4 linked regions of the Drosophila melanogaster genome follow. The gene in region 2 interacts genetically with the main gene of each other region. Each region holds a gene or a part of one and is shown on either strand. Other genes may lie near its edges.

What was found.
Region 1: of ex (region 2) and Zyx, changing one suppresses a phenotype caused by changing the other (phenotypic suppression), as found in Drosophila melanogaster (2 studies listed by BioGRID).
Region 3: of ex (region 2) and Tgi, changing one suppresses a phenotype caused by changing the other (phenotypic suppression), as found in Drosophila melanogaster (one study listed by BioGRID).
Region 4: of ex (region 2) and crb, changing one suppresses a phenotype caused by changing the other (phenotypic suppression), as found in Drosophila melanogaster (3 studies listed by BioGRID).

The regions. Positions count from the first base shown.
Region 1 is NC_004353.4:1,061,891-1,066,679, forward strand, and holds the start of Zyx (zyxin), read right to left. Parts: upstream 3,112-4,789; 5' UTR 2,933-3,111; intron 2,492-2,932; 5' UTR 2,355-2,491; intron 1,030-2,354; exon of another isoform or gene 788-1,029; intron 1-787. Other genes in the region: apolpp (apolipophorin), read left to right, coding at 3,218-3,293, 3,966-3,995, 4,050-4,789.
Region 2 is NT_033779.5:429,405-434,277, reverse strand, and holds the start of ex (expanded), read right to left. Parts: upstream 3,052-4,873; 5' UTR 2,161-3,051; intron 1-2,160. UniProt on the Drosophila melanogaster protein: Activates the Hippo/SWH (Sav/Wts/Hpo) signaling pathway, a signaling pathway that plays a pivotal role in organ size control and tumor suppression by restricting proliferation and promoting apoptosis.
Region 3 is NT_037436.4:13,493,837-13,501,711, reverse strand, and holds the start of Tgi (Tondu-domain-containing growth inhibitor), read right to left. Parts: upstream 6,086-7,875; coding exon 5,566-6,085; intron 813-5,565; coding exon 498-812; intron 430-497; coding exon 1-429.
Region 4 is NT_033777.3:24,293,363-24,298,113, reverse strand, and holds the start of crb (crumbs), read right to left. Parts: upstream 3,037-4,751; 5' UTR 2,488-3,036; coding exon 2,250-2,487; intron 1-2,249. Other genes in the region: CG5715 (uncharacterized protein), read left to right, coding at 3,744-4,136, 4,193-4,687.

The sequences.
Region 1 (4,789 bases), on a different chromosome or scaffold from region 2:
TTTTTAATTTTTTATCGAAATGCCGATAAATAAGGAAATATTTTGCTCTTCCGTTTGTCGAGTAAGGGATATCTGACTGTCGGGGAACTTGACTATAGCTGTCACTGGAAAACTTTATGGGAAAGTTTCATTCAGGGATAATTAGTGAGACAAGTTTGTGTAGAAGCGAACGGATGGCAAAACAGACGATGAACGGCGATATCGACTCCACCGCTTTCCAGAAACTGATCAATAATTGATAAACCCCTGAACAAATTTTTAACTCAAATTTTTATAATATTTCCTTTGGGCCCAAACAAAACAAATGGCTGTCATGTAGGTGGCTTCCGATAAATTCGCTCACTCGACCACTGTTATTAAAAATATTTATAAGTTAACTTTATGAAATAAATCTCGTTTCAACATCATCCGAAATTGCATTTTTGTTCTTCTCCCAGACAAAGGAATTTTAAAATAAATTAAATCTGGTGCGGCTCTTTCAATTTATTTTTTCGTGATATTTGGTTCAGCTAATTTGCTAATAAATGTAAATGTAAATGCGAAGTCATATTACTTCATATTCAAGAAGAAAATTCTGTTCTCTTCTTATCTTCATGTAAGAAATTCACATTAAATACCGTGGAGGTCTGAATATAAATATTAATTTCATTGAATAAAGTTCCTCGTTAATATAAAAATGATTGCAAACCACAGTTGCTTGTAAATAAGTACCATAACGATATCCATATTTTTGAACACCACACCCAATCGTCTAATTGTTTGGCCCAATCGAAGCGAAATTAAGCTCGGTGGAGGAGTATTGTAAAGGATAGGGGAATGACCGATTTCTAAGGAGCCACATAATTAGGAGCCAAAATAATTATTAATTAATCAAATACCTTTTTAGTCAAGTGGTATAAAAACCCTAAATATGGGAAATCTATCATGAAAGGTGCACTTTTAAAAGGAAGCTGACTTGGAATCACTTCACATATGTACGGCCATAGAGCTCAATTCATCAGCGGAATCTTTTCAGAAAATGTGGGCACGGTAATCTAACTTTTTAATGGTTAAAGAAAAAAGATTTAAATGGTTGTAATCAGACAATCGTAACTGACATCCTATTCTACGCTTCTAAACAGTGGTCTCCTGCTGTCACAACGCACTATTAGTGATCATCTTCAAAGCGTGGACTTCCGTTTACGATGATTTATTTACTAACCGGGAACAATACAAGAGTAAACTTCTTTCGAACTGTAATTTTTTCTGTCCGATCACGCAGGCTGCCTTTCTGCGTGCTTATCGAGCAGCGTTTTGCTTTCCAGCAACTTTTAATTACAGATTAAAGTTTCTTATCAGTCGTTAACTGCAATTCAGGAACGAACTTTCATATAAACATATTTTATACATCTGTTCAAAATCAAATAAATATACATGTGTAAATATGTGTATGCATATTTTAAATACCTATGTACCTATGCTTGCATTTGTAAGCATACTTTCATCTATATGAAAAAAGGGCATAAAAATGTATAACAAATTCCATTACAGATGTGTGCAAACATGGATTGCAAGTGACAATCTCTGCAAATGCATATATGTATGTATGTATGTGTGTACTTGCGCATTCACATTAAATTTGGAATGATAACAATTGTTACATCGAATTTCTCAATACCTATACATAAAACATAATTGCTTTAGAGTTACAACTAGTTTTCTTATTTGCACATACAGTTTGTCAAGAAACTGTTTACACACTGTGAAATAAGTTGAATTTTTGACTTTAAAGGTAAAAACTAAGGGTTCTTTGCTTAAATTAAACGCAATTTTTTTCTAAAATATAATTAATCAATATTTATTTTACTTATGAATCAAAAAACGAATTAAAAATATTAATTATACAAGAAAATAAACAACAAATTCCAAGTTTACACACTTTTGAGACTGTCAAGTATATAAATATCAGTTTTCAACATTTATAATCACAATTATACTTTGCATTTCTTACAGTTTTCAACACCTTTAAGAGGAAAACGTAATTTGCGATTTGTTTATTACTTTATTAGCCCAAAGCCATATTTAAAATATTGAAAAGGTAGATGAAAGGATTTTGTACTACTAAAGTAATAGAGTGATTCGAACAATATTTGCTTTTAAGTTACATTTTTAATGGAGACTGTGGGTGGTTTTGGTAACATATGGCTTGCCAGAAAATGCGGTGAAGTGTAAATTAAAATGCTTAATTGGGTATAATAGGTCTGGTAGGATGGCCAGAAGGGGGTGGTCACCCAAAACAACCAAGTTTAGAAGCAAGCATAAACGACCCTGTAAAGTATATATATATATATATAAACTTGAGCAGGATTTCTTACCAAATCGATCTGGGCATGTCCGTCCGTGCCCACACTTTTGAAAAATGTTTGATATTTTGCATTTTTGTTATCAGTCAGATTTATCAATCAGATTTTACAATCTACCGATTTTTACGTCGCTCACTGTCACGCCCACACTTAAAAAAAATTTTGTGATTTTTTTTCATGTTATTATTTTTCTGGTCATTTTCCACTGGTATATCGAGAAAATGTAGGTGAAAGACGGGAAATGGTACTATAGCGTCTACATTTTCTATATATTCTATATTTTATATCAGCCATTGTAAGTTGAGCACGTATTATGCAAAGCGATATATTTTTATTTAATTATATCTATATTTAATTATTCTTTATTTTATTTTTGTCTTATGTATTAGATGAAAATTGAGAGTAGGTAAAGGTACTAAGCTAGGGTCGAGTATGTCGAAGTCCGATTATAATGAGATTATATTAAATACACTCGGCTTTGGCCTGAGCACCCATCGCTGGTGATAAAGAATCGTTTAAATGCATGTCTCTCACAATGTGTCTTCATCTGTACTTGTTTCGCTGTATTTGTATTTATTTACAAGACATACACTTAAATACTATGTGGCACAATTGTAGATGTGTGAGTTCTTGATTTATTTGAGGTATTTAAAGTGAGTGTTTTCACGTAATCCGGCTTAATTCGTAGACAACGTTCATTGTATTCGAATCGGTTTAATTCGCGGATGGTCTGTGTGTTTCTTAATCTAAGAAGTATATACAAAGTGAAATTGGACCAGTGTTGGTAAAGGTAAAAAATACATGTAGTAAAATAAAAATGTGATACAAATTGTGGCGTTTGCTATTCCCAGGCTATCCCTAAGGGGCCCAGCGTAATGGCCAGGATGAAATACAATATCGCTTTGATTGGAATCCTAGCTTCTGTGCTTTTAACAATTGCTGTAAATGCTGGTAAGTGCTACAAGTTAAGCTAACCATAAATTATTGAAATCTTGATTTTTATCGAATGATATAGATTATGTAAACTAAATCAAAAATAAATGAGCCGATCGTGTAAAAACATGGTTTAACTACTTAAATCTCTTACAGGAGATTTAATTATGAATGATTTTCTCTACTTTACAAAATTACACTTTTTATATTATATTGACTATAATACTATAAAATTTATTAGAATACAAAACTTCAAATTTGCTCCAAAAAAGTCAAAGTTATAAGGATTTGGAATATTCAAAAAAAAAAAAAAAAAATCAAAGTTTGACAAATGCTGTTTTTGCCAGTTAAACCGCAATGTCCAACTGGATTCTTTTTCAGTAAATTGTTAAAAACGGATAGCAAGAGAAATTCTTTTGCCAATAGCTCCGTTAAAAAATCATATATTTCATAAAAATCGTTTGAGTCCCATCAATCAAAACATATAAAATTAGAGGACATTGCACCTTTAAAACTCAAAATCATTGATAACGATTTATAGACCTTATAGATGGTTCAGGTAAATACATAAGTGGTAAAGGGGGAACCCAAATTTTAAAATTCTTTCTGGTGATACTAATATTTATTTGGCGACTTGGAGATTACTTTTCCTTAATTCATTCTATACAAACATTTTCTTTTTAATTTTAGAAAACGCTTGCAATCTAGGATGTCCAAAATGTAAGTAATACAAAAAAAGTATGTATTTATATACTAAACAATTTTATGCCACAGCTGACAATGGACTTTTGAAGTACATACCCGGCAACTACTATGACTATTCCTTCGACAGTATTTTAACTATTGGAGCGAGTAGCGACGTTCCGAACGACTCAGATGATACAAGTCTTAAAGTGTCCGGATCTGCAAAAATTTTTGCGAAAGGAAACTGTGGGTACACATTACAGTTAAGTTCCGTTAAGGTAACTAATACAAAAGAGTCTGTGGAGAAAAAGATATTGAACAGCATTCAGAAGCCAGTTCAGTTTACACTGGTAAGTGGAATTTTAGAGCCACAAATTTGCTCAGACTCCAGCGACTTGGACTACTCTTTGAATATTAAGCGCGCAGTTGTATCATTGCTTCAATCGGGAATAGAAGCGGAACATGAGGTTGACGTTTTCGGCATGTGCCCTACACATACATCAACATCGAAAGTGGGTAACGCAAATATAATTACGAAGGCGCGGAACTTAAACAGCTGTTCGCATCGCGAGCAGATAAACAGTGGCTTGGTGTCCGGCAAAGTTAACGAAAAAGCTGGCATTACGTCTAGCCTGCTGTTGCAGGCAAACTATATAAAGGAGTCCAGGATTGTAAACCACTTAATTGAAAATGTTCAGCTGACAGAAACATATAAGTTTATTGGAAATACTAAAAGAAACTCTGATATCAGTGCAAAAGTAGTCACAATATTAAAACTGAAAAATCCAAGCGGTACCAAGGCAAACTCACCAGGAACTGGTTCTACTGTC
Region 2 (4,873 bases):
TTGGGTGTACCTCATAAAGCACACGGTGTTTTAAATTCGCGAACTCCAGACACCTTTAAAGCATTATGTGGATAATATATATTGTTTTGAATTGAAATCATCGCAAGTAATTATGAAAGCAGTTTTCTGTATGCCGGGCTTAGTGTGCCATCAAATCGCCAAATAACTCGTCGTCTCTTTGCCAAACTGCGAATATCGAATAGGAGAAAACAGAAATCAGGGAACAAGCGACTGAGAAATAAAACAGCAAAGCGGCAAATGCCGAATTCCGAGCTGCGGAATTCCACTTGTTGTGCCAGTTATGGCCAAACAATTTGATGTCTTTGAAATGCGTGAAATGTCCCCGCCGACCGCCGATGATAATAATGAAAATGGTCGCTTGCTCGGTTGGCTGGATAGCTGTGAGGAGCAGCCAGGGCGGAGTGGGCCAAAAGAAAGCAGCCCACACGTCGTCGCTCGGCTTCAGTTGGCTAGGCACCACAAAATCGCACCACATCGCACCACTCTCCTCCACTGCGCACCACACCCCGCAGACGCGAAATGCCCAACTGGGCGAACGAAGGTGGTAACGGTGGCGGAGGCGATGGCCTCCACAATGAGAGCAGCAAACAGCAAGATACAAAAACAAAAAAGAAGCCGCAACGTGTGCCGCATGCCAAATCGGAGGCGTGCGAAACTATGCTGCCATAATACCGTAGAAAAATTAGCAGTCCATACAGGGTATCTTGGGTTAAATGAATGCGCTATAATACGAGTAACCAATAATTCTAAAGTTTAAGGTATTTTGATTATGGCTAGAATAATTCTTTGACCAATTCTAAGTAAAGAGGCTTTTAAGTTTTTGCCTATCTGGCAATATGTTGTTGAAACAATATTTTTTTACGAGCATAGAGATAAGTACATTTTTTTAATCCTCGAAGGTCGTTCATTAGTGTATCCTCTATATCTCTGAGCCAGCCTCGACTCCGATTGTCATTCGAAATTTGTTTAATTTGTTGTACATTTTAATTGCCTGAATTGTTCGAGGCAATGAGCAACCAGAGTTTTCAATGTTCGCACACGCATATCAACTGCGTGCAGGAATTTCAGTTTACGAAATTAATATTTTGAGTTTGTATGATCATTGCTGTTGCTGTTGTCAGCTTCAATGCAAAAGCCCATTGCCTGAGGTCAAGTGTGATGTGGAGATCAAGAGATACGCACGGAGATGGAGATGTAGACGTCAGTGCTCAATCGAAAAAACCACAAGCGAACTAAAACTACGATCCGGGGAATACATGTGTACTTGCCGAGATATAGATACGTCTGTCCGCAGATACAGTTACCCATATGTATATGATTGCCTGGTGGCAAAATCGTTTAACGATTAGCGTTTAACCGCTTAAAGCTTATCGACTGATACCCAAAGCGTGTGTTTTCACCCGTTTGTTTATCTTTCGCTGATTTACATTCAAGATGTCTGATTGCCAAGCGGTTTCTGATTTCAGCAATTGTTCCAGGGATCCCGATGGACGGTTGAAATTCCAAACCCGGGAATAACAATAGAACTCTGTGGAGCTTCCATTTTCACTTAATTGCATCGCCGTCGATCGTTCTGACAACCGTTTAAGTCGCCTATTAGCCATAGAACCTATCAAATTGACTAGCTCACTTGGAAATTGGATCCCGAGATAAGTGAAACCCTGTGCAAAGATACTTTAGGGCCGCATAGAAAATGTCAAAAAAAATTAATTAAATGTGACCGGTATTTAAAAAGTCGGTCAGGCCTACTATATAACTACATATGTATGCACATGTGAATGTACATATATATTTGACACAATAGTACTCTAAACAGCTTCCCCATTTCAATATACCCTCCGTAGAGTGTCAAGTTTGACTGACATTTGATATTCCATGGCCCGAAATGGGTTAATTGCACAATTCGCTGAATTTTTGACTCTTAGCGGGACGCAAAAAAAAAAATTTAAAGAAAAAAGCTGGCGACAACAACGAAATGTTAAACAATCGTTGGACGTTGGCGATTTTATGGTTGACAGATAAGAAATTTGCTGGCATTTGTTTTGTTTGCCGTTTTCAGGGAGTCATTAAAATTCCGGGGAAATGGCCCCATATGGGTACACCACTCTATATCTGCACGTGTATCTGTCCTTTTCTTACCTTAAGCCGCTGCAGAAGTCGGCATTGTTAATGCTGTATCTGTATCTGCTTCTGTTTCGGTTTCGCGTAATCCACAATAACTGGCTTTTTAATTTTGGTTTGGTAGTTTTGTTTAACTAAAGCTCACTCTTCGTGCACTCTTAAAACCGATCTATTGATTTGGCTATCGATAAGTGCCTAACAGTAAAATTTTCGTTTCGTTGTTGTTACTTTCTGACCTCTTCCACTTCCACGACGCGCGCTGCGACTGCGCAGTCAACAGCGATCGGGTCGCATTCCAGCGTCGCACATACTTTAATCAAAACTCACTAACACCAGAACAATTGCACACGCGGGCGAGCGCAACTGAGAGTATCTGTGTGCGTGGAGTCGTTGTTGTTGCGCGAAAGAATGCCGTTTGCTGGGTTGTTGTTTTTGCTGTTGCTGACTGCTTTATTTGTTGTAGTTGTAGTTTCCAGTGGGCAGTTGTTGTTGCGGCTGAATTTTTTCTTTTTGACCAGCACCAACTTTTCGGAGTTGACTTCAGCTTTTTTACACTACTAGTCGTAGATATTTTCGTGGTTTTAAGGCGCGTTTTCCCAAAATCAGAACTAGTTGCACCAACACCAACAAAAATCACTTTTGTAATTGAGGCGAGTGCGAAAACGAAGCGCGCTGTTTTTGTTTCAGTGAAAACCGAACTTCACTTTAAGCAACTGAATCTGTGTAGCTCTGTGTGTGTCTGGGCGATCTGGTGTGCGTGCGGTGTGCATTTAAGATCTGAAGAACAACTTTTCCGAATGTTAGGTCTCGAATAAATTCATTAAACCGAATTTATATTTCCCAGTGGAAAGCACATGCTTTGCTGTCCCGACGATCTGTTCGGTTACCGTTGACGTTTAGCGATATACTGATTTTGCCCCTGCTCAGCGAAACCGAACACAACGAAGATCGAGTCGAGATTTCGTTAAAACTTAACGAAGCCGCGTTTAACGAAAAGAGAGCCCAAGAGAGAATTCGAATTCGAAAGAAGCGCACACAGCGATACACAAACCCGATGGCAACAACAACAACGGCTACGAAAATGTAAATAGCAATAAGCAATAAAAGAAAAACAAACTTCAAAGGAGAATCCCAGTAGCCAACTACATAGTGTGTGCGTCCGTGTGAGTAGTGGAATTCCAATGGCTTATCTCGCGAGACGACGATTCCGATTCTCAAGGGCTTAAAGGATACCCTGTTAGGATAGCAGATTTAAGTAAAATGCATATGAGAATTTTAACAAAGGTACCTTTCTTTCTAATTCTGCTTTTTATCACATGCTATCTTGTAGTTTACATTGTATATTACAATTACATTATGAGTTCTATCTTTTGGCATTCACTTTTTGCCAAACTATGGCGGAAGCCTATTGGATTCAAATCTAGCTTTCAGTATCCCTGCGCTAGCCATCGATGCGACTATCTTATAAATAAACTCTCTGGGCAAAACTCCAGATACAGATGCACTGGACGAGGGAGAATCGGAATCGGAACTTGAGGGTCTGAAGACTCTGCCTCTATCGGCGTCCTCTGCTGCTACGATATCGTCACTTGGGCGCATTCCTCAGCATAATGTGAGCTTGATTTGCTGGATTCTTTTTGCTCCCTCTTCCCTCTTTTTCTCTTCTTTAGATTTCCTCCTTTTCATTTCCCCTCCTCCACCTCTTCAACCATCATTTGCTTCAAATATGCGGCATACACACGCCCCACGAAAGGGCGGGGATCAGTGTAAGCCAAGTAAGGTTTTAACCAGTTCGTCCAAGGGGCTACTTAGAAAAATCCACAGAAAACAAAATTTAGATTATATGGAAAAAAGTCTAAATGATATAAAAATCGTAACTAAACACAACCAAAAGACTATATAATGATGATCGAAGTTGTGCCCCGGTGCCAAACCCTCGCTACGCCCCTGAAGACCCGGCCAAAAGTCGAAGACTCAGAATTGGAGAGTCAAGGGGTCGGGGTCGGGTCGTCTTGCCATGGACATAACTTGTTGACTGAAGTCAGGGAAGTGGTGGGGCAGGGGTAGAAATTGGGCGAGACATTCCGGTGAGGCGGGGTTTCGATGGGAACAACTCGCACAGCCTTTGATTTCTTTGAGTGTACTTTGCGTTGTGGTGTCTGCTATACCCTGTTTGGGATACAACGGGAAGAATTAAAAAAGGTTTGTAGGTTTCAAAAAAAGTACATGCCACTCCTGGGACAAATTTTGAAAATTTCTCTATTGACAAGCCTATGGTGTAAGGGAATTTGAGTAAAGGTAGTTTGTTACCCACCGGATCAGTCTGACTACAAGAGATCTAGAGTACTTCCATCTTCGACTTGAAGCCCAAGCTTTTCATTCTTGTTTTTTTTTTTTGTTTTGTGGCTGTTCGTTATTCTTTCGTCTTTGGTCGATCGCTTGGTCGCTGGTTCTCTAAGACCGGTTGTTGTTGTTGCTGTAAGCAGCCTTTTGGGAACTACGTTCTTGGTCAATATCGTGTAGATATACATACGTTCTATATCTGTGCTTGTGTGTGTGCGAGGTTTGGAGCCTGGTCGAGGCCGAAGTTTTGAGCGAGGAGAGTGAAAAAATAAAAAAAGAACGGCCAAAAATGTTTTATGCAATTCCTTGAAGTCGATTTCAGTCTCCAGTCTCCCGGTCCAGAGAATCGCTTTTGCGGAATTGGCGCGCATTTCTGGCCTTTTTTTTT
Region 3 (7,875 bases), on a different chromosome or scaffold from region 2:
GCGTGTCCAGGATCCGCCTGCCCGCCACCGCTGCCTCCATCACCTGGCTGACGGCCGTGGGTAGCGCTGGTGCCGATCCCGTGGCCGAAGGTGGCGGCGATGGCGGCGTTTGGGTGCGATGCAGTGCCAGCGACAGGGGAAGCGGTTCCTCCTGCGGCGGCGGCAGTTCCGGCTGCAGCGATTCGGGCTCCAGAATGACCCATCCCGACTTGGCCAGCGGCGAGCGTTGCTGCTGGTAGTGCTGCGATGCCGCTGTGCTGGTTGATGAAGGCAGTCCGTAGGCCAGTGGCGAAACCTGCTGCTTAGGTGTACCACTTGGCGAGGGCGTGGGTGTTGGCGTAGGCGTCGGTGACTTCTTGGCGAACAGGGCAGCATAGTTCTCGCCCAGTGAGCGTCGGAAGTGCTCGTCAATGTCGCACATCGCCATATCTGCAAGGCAAATCAAAGCATCAGGTTAGTATGATCGTTGACACTAATGTGCATATATGACTTCTCACCTGTAGAGTGGGCCTGCTCCGGTGGTTCTCGCTTGGGTGGAGCCTGGGTAATGACGCTGGGTCGACTGTTGGCCGCGTAGTTGGTCCCAGGCAAGGGTTCGCGATAGGGTGGCGGCGGTGAGGCTCTCTGCTTCAGAGCTCCCGTCGTCACCGACATGTCAATGGGACTGTCCATGTCGCGATCCTCTCGATCCCGCTCCCGTTCCCGCTCCCTCTCGCTGTTGCCTGCCTCGTGCGGCTGGTATCCGGCACTACGCTGACGCCGCTCGCGTCGCCATTTGGTGGTGGTCAGCACCTTGGACGTCGCACGCATCTCTGCAAGGAGAAAAAAAAAGAAACATCAAGAGTCAAAAACGGTTTTCAGGAAAACGAGCTATCTGTTTTGGCCATCTTTTTGGCTAGCCCTCTGAATAGTAATAGTCCATATGTCCATATTATAGACAAAAATCGAATTTCAATTAAAACCCATAAATTTGCTGTGGCTTTGCGGTTGATTTGGGTTTTGTCTGGCTAGCGATTCACCAATGCTCGTTGCGGTTTACGTGTCTGTCGTCTTGGCTTCGATTATGCGGTCGATGAGTGGGCGTAATGAATCAGTTGGAGTTGAGGCGAGGCTGACTCTACAAAGGTTCTCCTCCACCCGATCGCCTGCCTGCGTCTATGTATCCAAATCTCTACCCCCCCCTGGCCCGCTCTGTCCTGCAAGTTTGTTGCCTAAGTCTTTCGTTTTTTTGAATGAACCTCTGCCAAAAGCTGCAAAGTCGCGGAGCGGCAGAGAGCGGCAAGAGCGGGCAGGAGGAAGAGTTTAAGGCAGCACAGAAATTATGCACAAGAAGACGTAGCCGTCATCGGCAAAAAATATGAATAAAAATAAAACAAAAAAAACGGCACACACACACTCGAACAAATAAATAATAACAACAGAAAAAGCATATACAATCGAAACTCCAAGGCACCAACAAAATTGGTTACGAAAACTCGTTTGGTCTACGCTCTTTTTCGAGTTCGCCTGGGTTGTATGTGTGTGTGTGTGTGTGTATTAAAGTCTGGGCCTGGCCTACACTGAGCGAAACGCAGGAACGTGCCTGGCCTGCCAATGGGCGATTGACCGAGCTGCCGGCGTGGGAAGCGGCCAAAACGGAGCGTGGGCATCCCGTCGGGATGAAAGATCCATCTGCTCCAGGCGCTCAGTGTAGCTGCTGCTGCAGCTTGCCAGGAAACCAAGTTTATAAATAAAGCAAAAGGCTGGCAGCGGGAAGCCAGGTCCCAGAACCCAGTTTCTCGGCCGATATCGAAGGGGCAGGCAAACCAGTCGGGCGACTTCTGCACATTTCGAGCAGCGCAGAGAACCCCGTTTGGAGGAGGAGTAGCTGCAGTCCCAGGAACCCAGGCATGAATGAATGAATGAATGGCTGGATTGGGATGGAGGCGGTTGGCGTTGGCGGAGGAGCAGGAGCAGGAGGAGTGGTAGGAGCAGGCGGGAGCGTTGTCCTGTTTTTGGCAACGTCACTGCGGGGCTGCCATATATTACTACCTCTGCGAGTCCAACCAAACCGGCGAGGCAGAGGAGCACCAGTAAGAGGAGCCAAGAAACTGGTCTGTCCCGAGTGGAGCACTGGGCGCAGAGGATGACGAGGAGGTGGAGGAGGAGGGCGGAGGCAGTGAAGTTGGAGTTGCAGGCCAAGAGGCATTAAAAACCAACAAACACGGAGGCTGGGAGCAAACTTGGGCTTGGACTCGGGCTCGGGCTCGGGCTCAAGCGGATGATGATGGGGATGATGATAATAATAAAGAAACATTCAAATTTTATTGCACATTTCCGGTCGTCGGACGTCGCCGTCTGTTGGGGGATCGGCGGTTCGACAGCGAAAACAACAACCACAACAACGAAGACGAAAACGACAACGATGGAGCATGGAGCATGGAGCATGGAAGTTGGAACATTAAGCTTTCTTTTTGAGGCTCCCCCTCTTTTGCGGATTGTGGTCTGCAGCTCCCTATCTCACCTTCGCCGCCACCGCATTTTCAGCATCCTCTCGGCATTGTTTATTTGTTCTGCTGCCAGCGTTTTAATCATTTCTGTATCGGCTAATTGGCGATAAAGGGGAAGTCGATTGAATGGCAGGCCGTTTCGAAATTAAGGGGGAGTTCGTAAAAGGGAGCTCGAAATGGGGTTACATCGATGATATAAGCAAGGGACAGTCGTGGGATCCAGGCGATGTAGGATGTAGTGACAGTTAGCTTGTACTCCGAACAGAAAAATCAAACGATTTAAAGGTAGAAACCAGGTTTTGGCATTTGTAAAATGAATTGAAGCCATAAAGAACGACTTGAATAAACAATAAAAAAACAACCGCAAAGTTGAATAATTAAGAAACCAATCTATACATTCGTATTTAAGGTTTTGTCATCAGGTCTTCTATTCTATAATTCGTATAAGTATATAATCGATACAGGGTTATTTCGTTAGTTTTTGATACCCATTTATTTTTATAGAGATGCATATAAATGGTAAATTTATCTGCCTTCATTTCAATGTTTTGTGGATAGCAATTACAAGGAAAGCATTACTTCCCTAATATTCCTATAAACAACAAATTTAGCAAATAATAGACTTTTCAATTGATAATGTTAGATGTTAAAATAAATCCAAGTATTTTAGAAACTTTGCCCATAACAATTAGAGTACATTATTATTGTACAAAAAAATCGAACCATTATTTCAGGCGAAACATTTCACAATTTCCGGTAACGGTGGGCCAATCTCAAAACTTCTTCACCGCTGAGGTGATATATCAGCTGTCTGGCGAGATTTGAAAGCGCCGGCCCAGTGAGATCCCAATATCTGGTTCCGACCCGAAGGGAACGCGCGAAAGAGAGGGGAGGAGAGGCGGAAAGAGAGAGACGGCGCGAGAGTGACAAAACTCAAGCAGACTTGCATGCTTATAAGTTTTGGCCTGTTCGGAGTGTAAGATTGTACTACAAATGGCTTCAAAGCAATAGCAATAGCAATGGGAACAGCATTTTGTGGCTTATGCAAACAAGTTGTTGCTGCTCTGGTTGTTGTAGCTTTTGTAGCTTTGTGTACACATTTATTTTTCCATCATCGTCGCCGCCGCCACCGTCACCGCCATCGCAGGCGTTTTTCATTATTTATATATTTTACGTTTATTTTTCTTTACTCGCGCCGGCTAGTGAGTCATGCCCGTAACCACGTATCCGATCCCCAAGCCCCCGATCCCTGCCAGACTTTCCGCTATACCCGCACCGCATTACCCGCTGGCCGAGTTGATTGCAAATCTGGTTTTAATATGTCAACAAATTAACAAAAGCAAAGCAAAACCGAGTCGAGCCAAGCACAGCGGCTCCAAGCCCCAAACCAAGCCCCCCCCCCCCCCTTCCCAATCCAAGTTCCACCTCATCGTTTTTATTTTTTTTTTATGGAGGTTTAATGTTTAAACAGGCGCTCATTTTTTGCTCTTTCTCGGGCTGCTCTTTTTTTCCAGTGATTTTTGTGTTTGCCTGGCGTCGCCATGTAATTGAAAGCATTTGTGTGATTTGTGCAATGTCGCCAATTAACGCGGTGGAACTGGAGTGTGAGTGTGTTTGTCTGCTCGTTTGCCAATTCGAGCCCGAAGCCAATCGTTGGCGACGGGGGAGCGCAGTAAAAGTGTTGCCAATTTCATTACCAATTTTCCAGTTGGCACAAGCCAAGTAGAGACGCCATCGATACGCTCTTGCAGCCGGCGTGACCGATTGCGTTAGCTGCCGTTGCCAATCTGCGTCTGAGTCCCAATCCCAATCGTCATCACGTTCACGTCCACGTCCTGGCCACACGCCGCCCACTAACTGATAAAGCGAGGCTTAGCGAATCGCTTCCGATATCCCATTCATGAGCGCAGTGGGTGAGTGATTATCGTGGCCATGTGGCCAAAGGAAAGGGCACGTTCGCCGATCCATTGAACTTCAGCACCGATCAGGCGAATGAGTGTAGCCTCCACGTGAGCAGCAGGTGCAGCAACGTGGTCTTCGCTTGTCCTGCTCTTCGCTGCACTTTGCCTGCCTCCATCCACCCAAGATAATTGCGAACATATTATGTGGTAACCTAGAACCACACGTGTTGTTTACTTCAAGGAACAGTCATGCCAAGAAGTGGAAAGAGTTTGAATGTTCATTCGGTGATATACGTATACTATTTAACAAGATGCTTGTAAGATTTCAATACTCTGGTCTGCAAAGAGTTTATATAAACAATATTGTCTTTGTTTTGGCTTCTTATTTGTTCGGTTTTTAAAGCTGCAATTAAAGATCTTGTTGTAATGAGATTTCAACTAGAAATCAGGTAACAAGAACATCCCCTATGCTGTCATAGGAAACTTTGGGTTAAATGGAAAGAACTTTGTGTTTTTTTATGCTGGATTTTATACTTAAAGATTCAAAGCTTCGTTGAAATGTGTAATTAAACATCTTTAGATGTTTCTAAATGTTTCTACTATAGTTTAAAATTTTCATTTAGTTAAAAACTGACAGGTGGTTTAAAGCTAGAATGACACTGACAGGGTGTTACCTCTTTCAATTTGAAATCGACAATTTTTAAGAGGGTTTATACTAGAGTTTGAATTCATTTAAGCACACTGTTGTTGATAAACAATTGTTACAAACAATTCTGATATTTATTTACCTAAAATTGAAGCGTACCATTTACCGACAGGATGGCTATTAATAATCGTTATAATAAATCGTAACAACGTTGTAGAACCCTGAACATTTAGACTTTACTTCCCAGAAGAAGCACGGAATAAATTAAAGGTTATGATAAGACAAATTAGTGAAACTACACGAATCCGAAAAATGGAATTACGAAGAAGGGGATCTCACATTTGAAAGAATACAAACAAACTATCCCCTGCCATTGTGGCCTCATGTGCAATCTTCCTAATGAATTGTAAGCAAGTTTCACTGGCAAGATCACCCGTATGTGACAGTTTCAACCTTTCAGTCCCCCGAGGTCAGTCAGTCGGGGGATTTTCGCTAGTCGATTTCTTTGAAGTCGCCCTGTCAAACGAACCTGAGTGCAACTGCAACTGCTGCTGCTGCTGCCTGTAGAGCTGGTGATGCATGGCGGCCGCCTGCTGGAGATCTCGCCATGGCTGCCAGAGCAGACTGTTGGCCATGGAGGAGGCGTTAGGATCGGCGTTCGCCTGCGGATGCATCTGCTGATTGCCGGACTCCGCCTGCAACGCATGCAGCTGCTCCAGCTGCTGAGGATGCTGGACATTGTAGAACATGGCCCTCTGGCTGGCCAGTGCTTGTTGGTCCGCCAGAGCAGCGGCCGCTCGGGCAGTAGCCACCTGGGCCAACGAACCGTGCGAACTGGCCGCGGACGAGACAATGGAGGAAGTGGAGGGTCCACTCGAGCAGGATGCAGATGAGATGGAGGCCGTCGAGGAGGCGGATGAGGCGGATGAGGCGGGAGATGTTGCTGTAGCCCCCCCAGCGGTTTCGGCGACCAAACGCTGGATCTCCTTGTGGTAGTAGTAATCCTCGAAGGCATCCAGTAAGCAACGATAATCTAAGCGGAGAGCCATTCTATGCGAACTTGATGGATTCTCAATTAGCTGCGCTATCTAGCCACTTCCTTCTTCTCGATCCAAATCTCTGGGGGTATCGATCCTCCCACACCGCAGTCGCCGCCGAAAAACCGACTCAGCTGATTCACAAATCACTACGCCTTGGCCGGGAGTTGGGGGCGGTATCTATCAATCGGTATCAGTTGAAGTACTTCTCGGATGCTGGGGAGCGGCACTCTTTTCTTTTTTTCTTTTATTATTTATTTGTTTTTCTTTCCCTTCCAGTTTATGATTACTTTTTTGCGCTCGGCGGCAGATACAGATACACGAATGTGCGCACACAAAACGAGCCGCAAGTCGCGACTATAGATACAGATACAATCTGTTTCTGTTTGTCTGTTGGTTTTTTTTTTTTTCTTCTGCGATTTGGTTTTTTTTTTTTGCGCGAACCGCGACTCGGGTTACAGTCTCTCGCCAGTTGAAACGGAGACTTTGGCTCTGCTCCGGCGACGTGAGCCTCGAGTCGACATTTAGCAAAATAAAAATAGCACGCTCTTTTTTCTGGCTTTTTCTGCCTTTTGTTGTTACGGCGACTCTGTCTCCGACTCTGTCGTCTCTGGGTTATATGTGTTTCTTTTCCGAGTAATGATTTGCATAGAAATCGACAAATCGCTGACTGAACTTGAGCGCCAGTTTTCGCTTTCAGAGACCGACGAACAGAACGGGGCGGCACACACGAACCGATCTGGACGCACGTTCCACGCCACAAATCGTAGTACGAATAGCAAGGTATCGGCTATAGCTAGCTGTCAGCTATATAGCATTAGGAACTGGGCAACTGTGCAACTGAGCAACTGAGCAACGCGACACCGAACTGGCGGCTTCCACGGCCAAACTCAAACTGATCGTCGGCGAGCGGCGACTTGAAGATTGCGACTGGGGCTTGCTGTATTATTATTATTATATAGGGGGCTTTCGAAGCTCCGAAGCCGCGGCCGAGTCTTCTGTCTTCCGTCTTCGGTTTCTTTGCCAGTCTTCGTCTTGCGCTCGTTCGCTGGGCTGCAAAAGTCTCCACGGGTCTTCGGGTCTCTGAAGAAACCGGGAATCGGGGGGATCGGATCTGTAGAGTTGGGGGCTTTTTTTTCTTTTTTTTTTTTTTTAGAGCCATTTGCACTTGCGCCAGTTGTCGTCCCTTGTTGTTTTTCGTTTATTTCTCCTCTTACCAATTTCCGTTTCGACTCTGGTTGGCCTGGCCTGGACTTGACTGGGTTGGCCCTCTCTTTCGCCGAAGCTCGCCGACGTTCGCTGGAGTTCTCAACGGATTTCGGATCTCTGCTTGCTTTTGGTGATTTGGTAATTGAAAAAAGTACAACTGAAAGACAGGCAAAGAAAGGGGTCCAATGTCTGTATATCCGTCCGTAGGATGTGGCCGCCACGCCCCGTTGCCCCATTGATGCTTGGCAAATTGGGCAAAAGGGTAACGAAATGGCAGCAATTGGGAATTGGCCACAGTCCGCGCGAACTCTTGGAGCACCGTAGCTGCTCTGGCTGTGAACTGCGATTTTGGGTAGGGCCAGTCGGGTCGGGTCGGGTCCAAGCAGCGCACATGGTGTGGGCGTTCTTTCATGTTGTCTGCAACGCTCTTTTGTTTTGGGCCCGGTCACTGCATTGGGCTCATTATAATGTTTACCCAGAGTTTTGCCACAAACCAGCGTAAATCCAGCAATGTTTGTAGCTGCGTGCAAAGCTACCTACGTTCCACCACGGCTTGTCGAATATGTGTGTGTGTGTGTGTGTGTGTGTGTTTG
Region 4 (4,751 bases), on a different chromosome or scaffold from region 2:
CTAAGTACTGGGTAGTAAAGTACGCCCTAACCTTTAAAGGACTGGGGCAAATCAGTTCTTTTTCAGTTATACTCTGGCTATTTTTATAGACCTGGCTAACGACTTGCACTAATGGCCAACGTCAGGCAATGGTCGCGGCCGGCTGCGTAGGCCCACGGAACATGGCCCACGACCCGCGTCACGGCCGATTGCACTTTAACACTTGACCAGGTTGAAACACCGGACACCGGAGAGCGGAGAACGCGGGTGTGTCCAGCGTACAATTTCCATTCCATTCTCGATTTTCATTTATGTACGTGCCAGAGAATTTCCATAAACTCGCGGGGTCACGTGTTGTTATCGTTAACGCAATGCAGGTAGTTTCGGTTCATTTGTGTTTTCCCTCCACTTTTCCAGCGTGCCTAGTATACCTGTGCCGCGATTTTTCCCCTGAAAATGATGGATTATATCTGTTTAGGGCGGAAATTCAAACGAAAGCCGTACAGAAACCACTCTCGAAGTGAAGATGACGCTGATGATCTTCGCTGTCGGTGTCTGGATTTTACGATGGAAGCTGCCATAAACCAGTTGCTGTGATGCCTTTCAGGGATTTCCCAGCCCAGACATTCATTTTCTCTTCTTTTTATTCGTCGGTTTTCCTTGTCAATCATAAACCAAAGTCATTTGATAAATTCTACGATAAAAGGTATACGAAAATACAGGGCCTATAGAGAGGTTGGTTCTTTACAATTAAAAGAAAATGTGTTCATGGAAATGAATGAATTATAGCTCTTTATTAGGGCTTTTCACTCGTTTGGATTTTTTTTAATTATTAAGCTGAAAATTTGTTTACTATTAGCTTCAAGAGCTGATAAACTGGTTTACTATGTTTTCGCTGCACTCCAGGGCTTTCCCTACTTCGAGTTGGAAAACTCTTTCTCTATCTGTGCTCCCTTCTCCTGAGTGTTCTTCTTATCAACCTATCAACGGAATTGCGGTATTGCTGACGTTGAGTTGGCCGCGCTTTTGCAACTGTTGTACTTCACTTTCCGGCCAAAAGATAAGATTGCGCGTAACAACAGCCGGATGGCTGGCCGTTTGGAGGGTTGGTACTCGAATTGTAAATAAATAGACCCAATTTTTGAGGTCGTTTTTGCACAATCCGTTGGAAAAAGGGGGCAGACAATGCTAAGCCAGCCAAACAATTGAGCCGCGGACAACATGTAACAGAAAATTACACATAATGAGTCAGCAAGAGTTGTGAATCAATTATTATGATCGTTATGCGATAAGTTTCACAGATTTCACTGTTGTGATATCGCTAAAAGCGCTTTGAAAATGCAGACAAATGAGGTTTTATTACCAAAAAATCGCACCAGTATCAACAAATGCAGAAACAATAATTTGTTACGATTCCCTGTTATTTACCTAAAAATATGATATCCATTTGTAAGCTACAGTGTGTAAAAAATGCGGGTCACGTTAAAATATCTCTTCTGGTTTCAGTAATTAATTCTTCTTGGCCAAGATTGCTAACATTAACCGCCTTTGAAGCTATAATTTGATTAATTATCTCTCTCAGCGACTAAAGTTGTACTCTACTAAATATAAATTTATACGCAATCGAAGCTAATACATTTCTAAGCATTCCTTTTGTTTGCAAGATAAGACCGAGCACACAATCATCAAAAATTAGAAATGAGTGTATAATTAACACAATCAAACTTCAGGTAAGCCAGCTCCATGAGTCACTTCTTGAAGGAAAACCCGTTGAACGAGTTTTTCGTAGGCCCGAAATCATTGAAAATCCAAATTCCTTTTACCCAACATGACTTGGTCAACATCCCCAAAACACACGAATGCCCCACCACACACACACATGACCTGTTGCTCTTTTTTTTCGATTACGAGCTTTTGAAACATCAGCAAATGTTTAAGCTAAAGAATGCATGTGGCTCATCATATAAATTATTTACAGTGTGACTTCCGTAACTCAATCTCATTAACTCATTAATCATATGAGCAGCCAAAGGCTTAAACACAATAACAACATTACAAATTCCATTTAAAATGGGCATCTAATATACATTTTAATAATTTATAACGGGCAAGTTCAGTGCTGTGGAGTGATCACTGTAGCTTAAGAACCGCGTAAACACCGTGTTGCTCTCTCATGTCCCCATCTTCGCTCTCTCCTCCTGAATGTCCTCGACTGCCTATCGCCCTCCCTCTCACTCACTCGCTAGCTCCCTCTCAGGGTTCTCTCTCACCTGTTGCTAAGTAAATAAGTATGAAGAGCGGTATCCATTGAGGCGACGAATAAACTGAAATGGCGCGCTTGAGCAAATGCGACGTAATTTGAGCTGCGCTTTTCGTGCGGTCTCGACTTCTTGCTGTTGTTGTTGCTGTTTCTACTGATGCCGCCACTGTTGTTGTTGTGGTCGTTGCTGTTTCTGCTTGCCGCTGTTTTTGTTGTTGCGACAGTGACGCATTGGCGATTTTAGCCATGATCGCTGATTTGTTGGCTCAAGTCGAGTTTTCGTATTGGAAAGGGTTGCTTTTGGCTAGATATTATTGCTATTCAAACGATACTCATTGAGCTTGTTGTTGTTGGTAATTGCATTCTCCCTTCTCTCTGCTCCACGCAAACACTCATACGCACACACACACACGCGCGCAATCGGCACTTGGCTTAGAACAGGTTATTTTTATTTTTTTTAAGTTATATTCCTCTTTTTCTGCTAGTTGTATTATTTGCAAACTTTCGCACGCGACACTTTCTAGCCTGAATTTGAATATTGAGCACAGAGATTCCACTTTGAGCCAACTAATTTGCCATTTCTTCCCAGGCCACGATTCTGAATCACACCAACACACACACACACATACGAGCGCCGAAGACTTGGCTTAAAAGAGAGGTGCGCTGTTCTTGTTGTTGTCGCTGCCCTTTTGAACTGCAAGCAGCACACACACACGCGCGCGCACACACATTGGCCAAAACGGGGCGAAAAAAACGTTACGAGCGCGAGCAACCAATAAAACGTACGTACGAGCAGCAAGAAAAATGTTCGACCGTTTGAATCGGCGATATCCGTTTCGTGGGCTTATATATGGTGCAGTGTGACCAGTCCGCTTGGCTAGGTTTGGCTGGATTTTGATATAGAGTCAACATGCATGGCCACACTGATATTCAAGTTGCACAGTGGTACAATATGTACAAAAAAAATATTTTGTTCTTGAATTGATTTCGCACAAGAATTAAACCGTTAATTACATTTTCATAAAACTTTACTGATATAACTATTCAATATATCAATTAATATCGTGTGTATGTCTAGGTGACATTCCAAAATACACGAGCATAGTAAAGTTTAATTTATGGCGGGAACATGAAAACGTAAACTTCACTTAAATTACCAACGGCAGTTATGGGTTTTGTAAGTTGTGACCTACATCATCATAATCCAAATAGAATAAACCTTTTATAATACCGCAAATCTTAACTTGCGAAAATTCCGCACTGCACATATTTTCAAGTCGGAATGCATAAAAGTAAATTCCCCATAAATCAAGAAGCCGGCGGATAGCAACTACGTACTTAATGTAAATGTAAACGGCCACAAAGCGCCGACTTATCGTTTCAAAGAGAACTCAGCATAAACAGGCAGCACCGACAACATGTCGTCAATTTTTGGAGGTCTAGGTGGGACTATATAATGTGGGTAAGCCTGGTTAGAAATCACAGCAGTTGGGGAATTAGCAAAATGGGCAAATCGCAAAATAATACTGGTTCGCTTTTGCTACTGATTATACTGGGCATTTCTCTGGGAGATTCCATGCCCCTGGAGGATATGGACTCCCAGGAAATGATTGACTTGACAGATCTTGGAGATACTCTGTTCGGTAATCCGGACGTGGAGACGACTGGAGCTTTGGTTGAGGCACTCGGTGTGGAATCCCCGCTGAATCCCGAGGAGCTGGGAACCTACCACGAAGGTGACATCCTGATTCCACTGAGCTACAGGGACGCCCGATTCAATGGCACTCGTAATGGCATTTTGGCGCTGAGTTCCCGCTGGCCGGGCGGCGTTGTGCCCTACGAGATCAAAGGTCCTTTTACCAGCCAGGAATTGGGGAATATTAACCACGCTTTTAAGGTGAGGTTTCAGTAATAGTCCCTATTACAATTTACAAATAAGATTTTGTATCTTAGGAATACCACACCAAAACATGCGTGCGCTTCAAGCCCAGGACCACCGAAAAGGATTACATCTCCATTGGTAGCGGAAAGTCTGGCTGCTGGAGTAGCATTGGGCGCTTAGGTGGTCGCCAGGAAGTGAATCTGCAGTCGCCCAACTGCTTGCGTACATACGGCACTCCCATTCACGAGCTGATGCACGCCCTGGGCTTCTTCCATGAGCAGAATCGTCACGAACGTGACTCCTATGTGCGCGTGATGAAGGACAACATCAAGCCCGAGATGATGGTCAACTTCGAGAAGTCCAGTTCCAGGACACAGTACGGCTTCGGCGTGGAATACGACTATGGCAGTGTGATGCACTACTCCCCCACCAGTTTCACTCGGAATGGCCAGCCCACGTTGAAGGCACTGCGTGCCACATCCGATGCCAGCCAGATGGGTCAACGCAAGGGCTTCTCAGCCGGAGATGTGCGCAAGATCAACGCAATGTACAAGTGCAAGGTGTAGATGACAACTGCAGTCGAAGCATTCGGTAACAGTATTTTGACAAACATAAATATTTATCATCAAC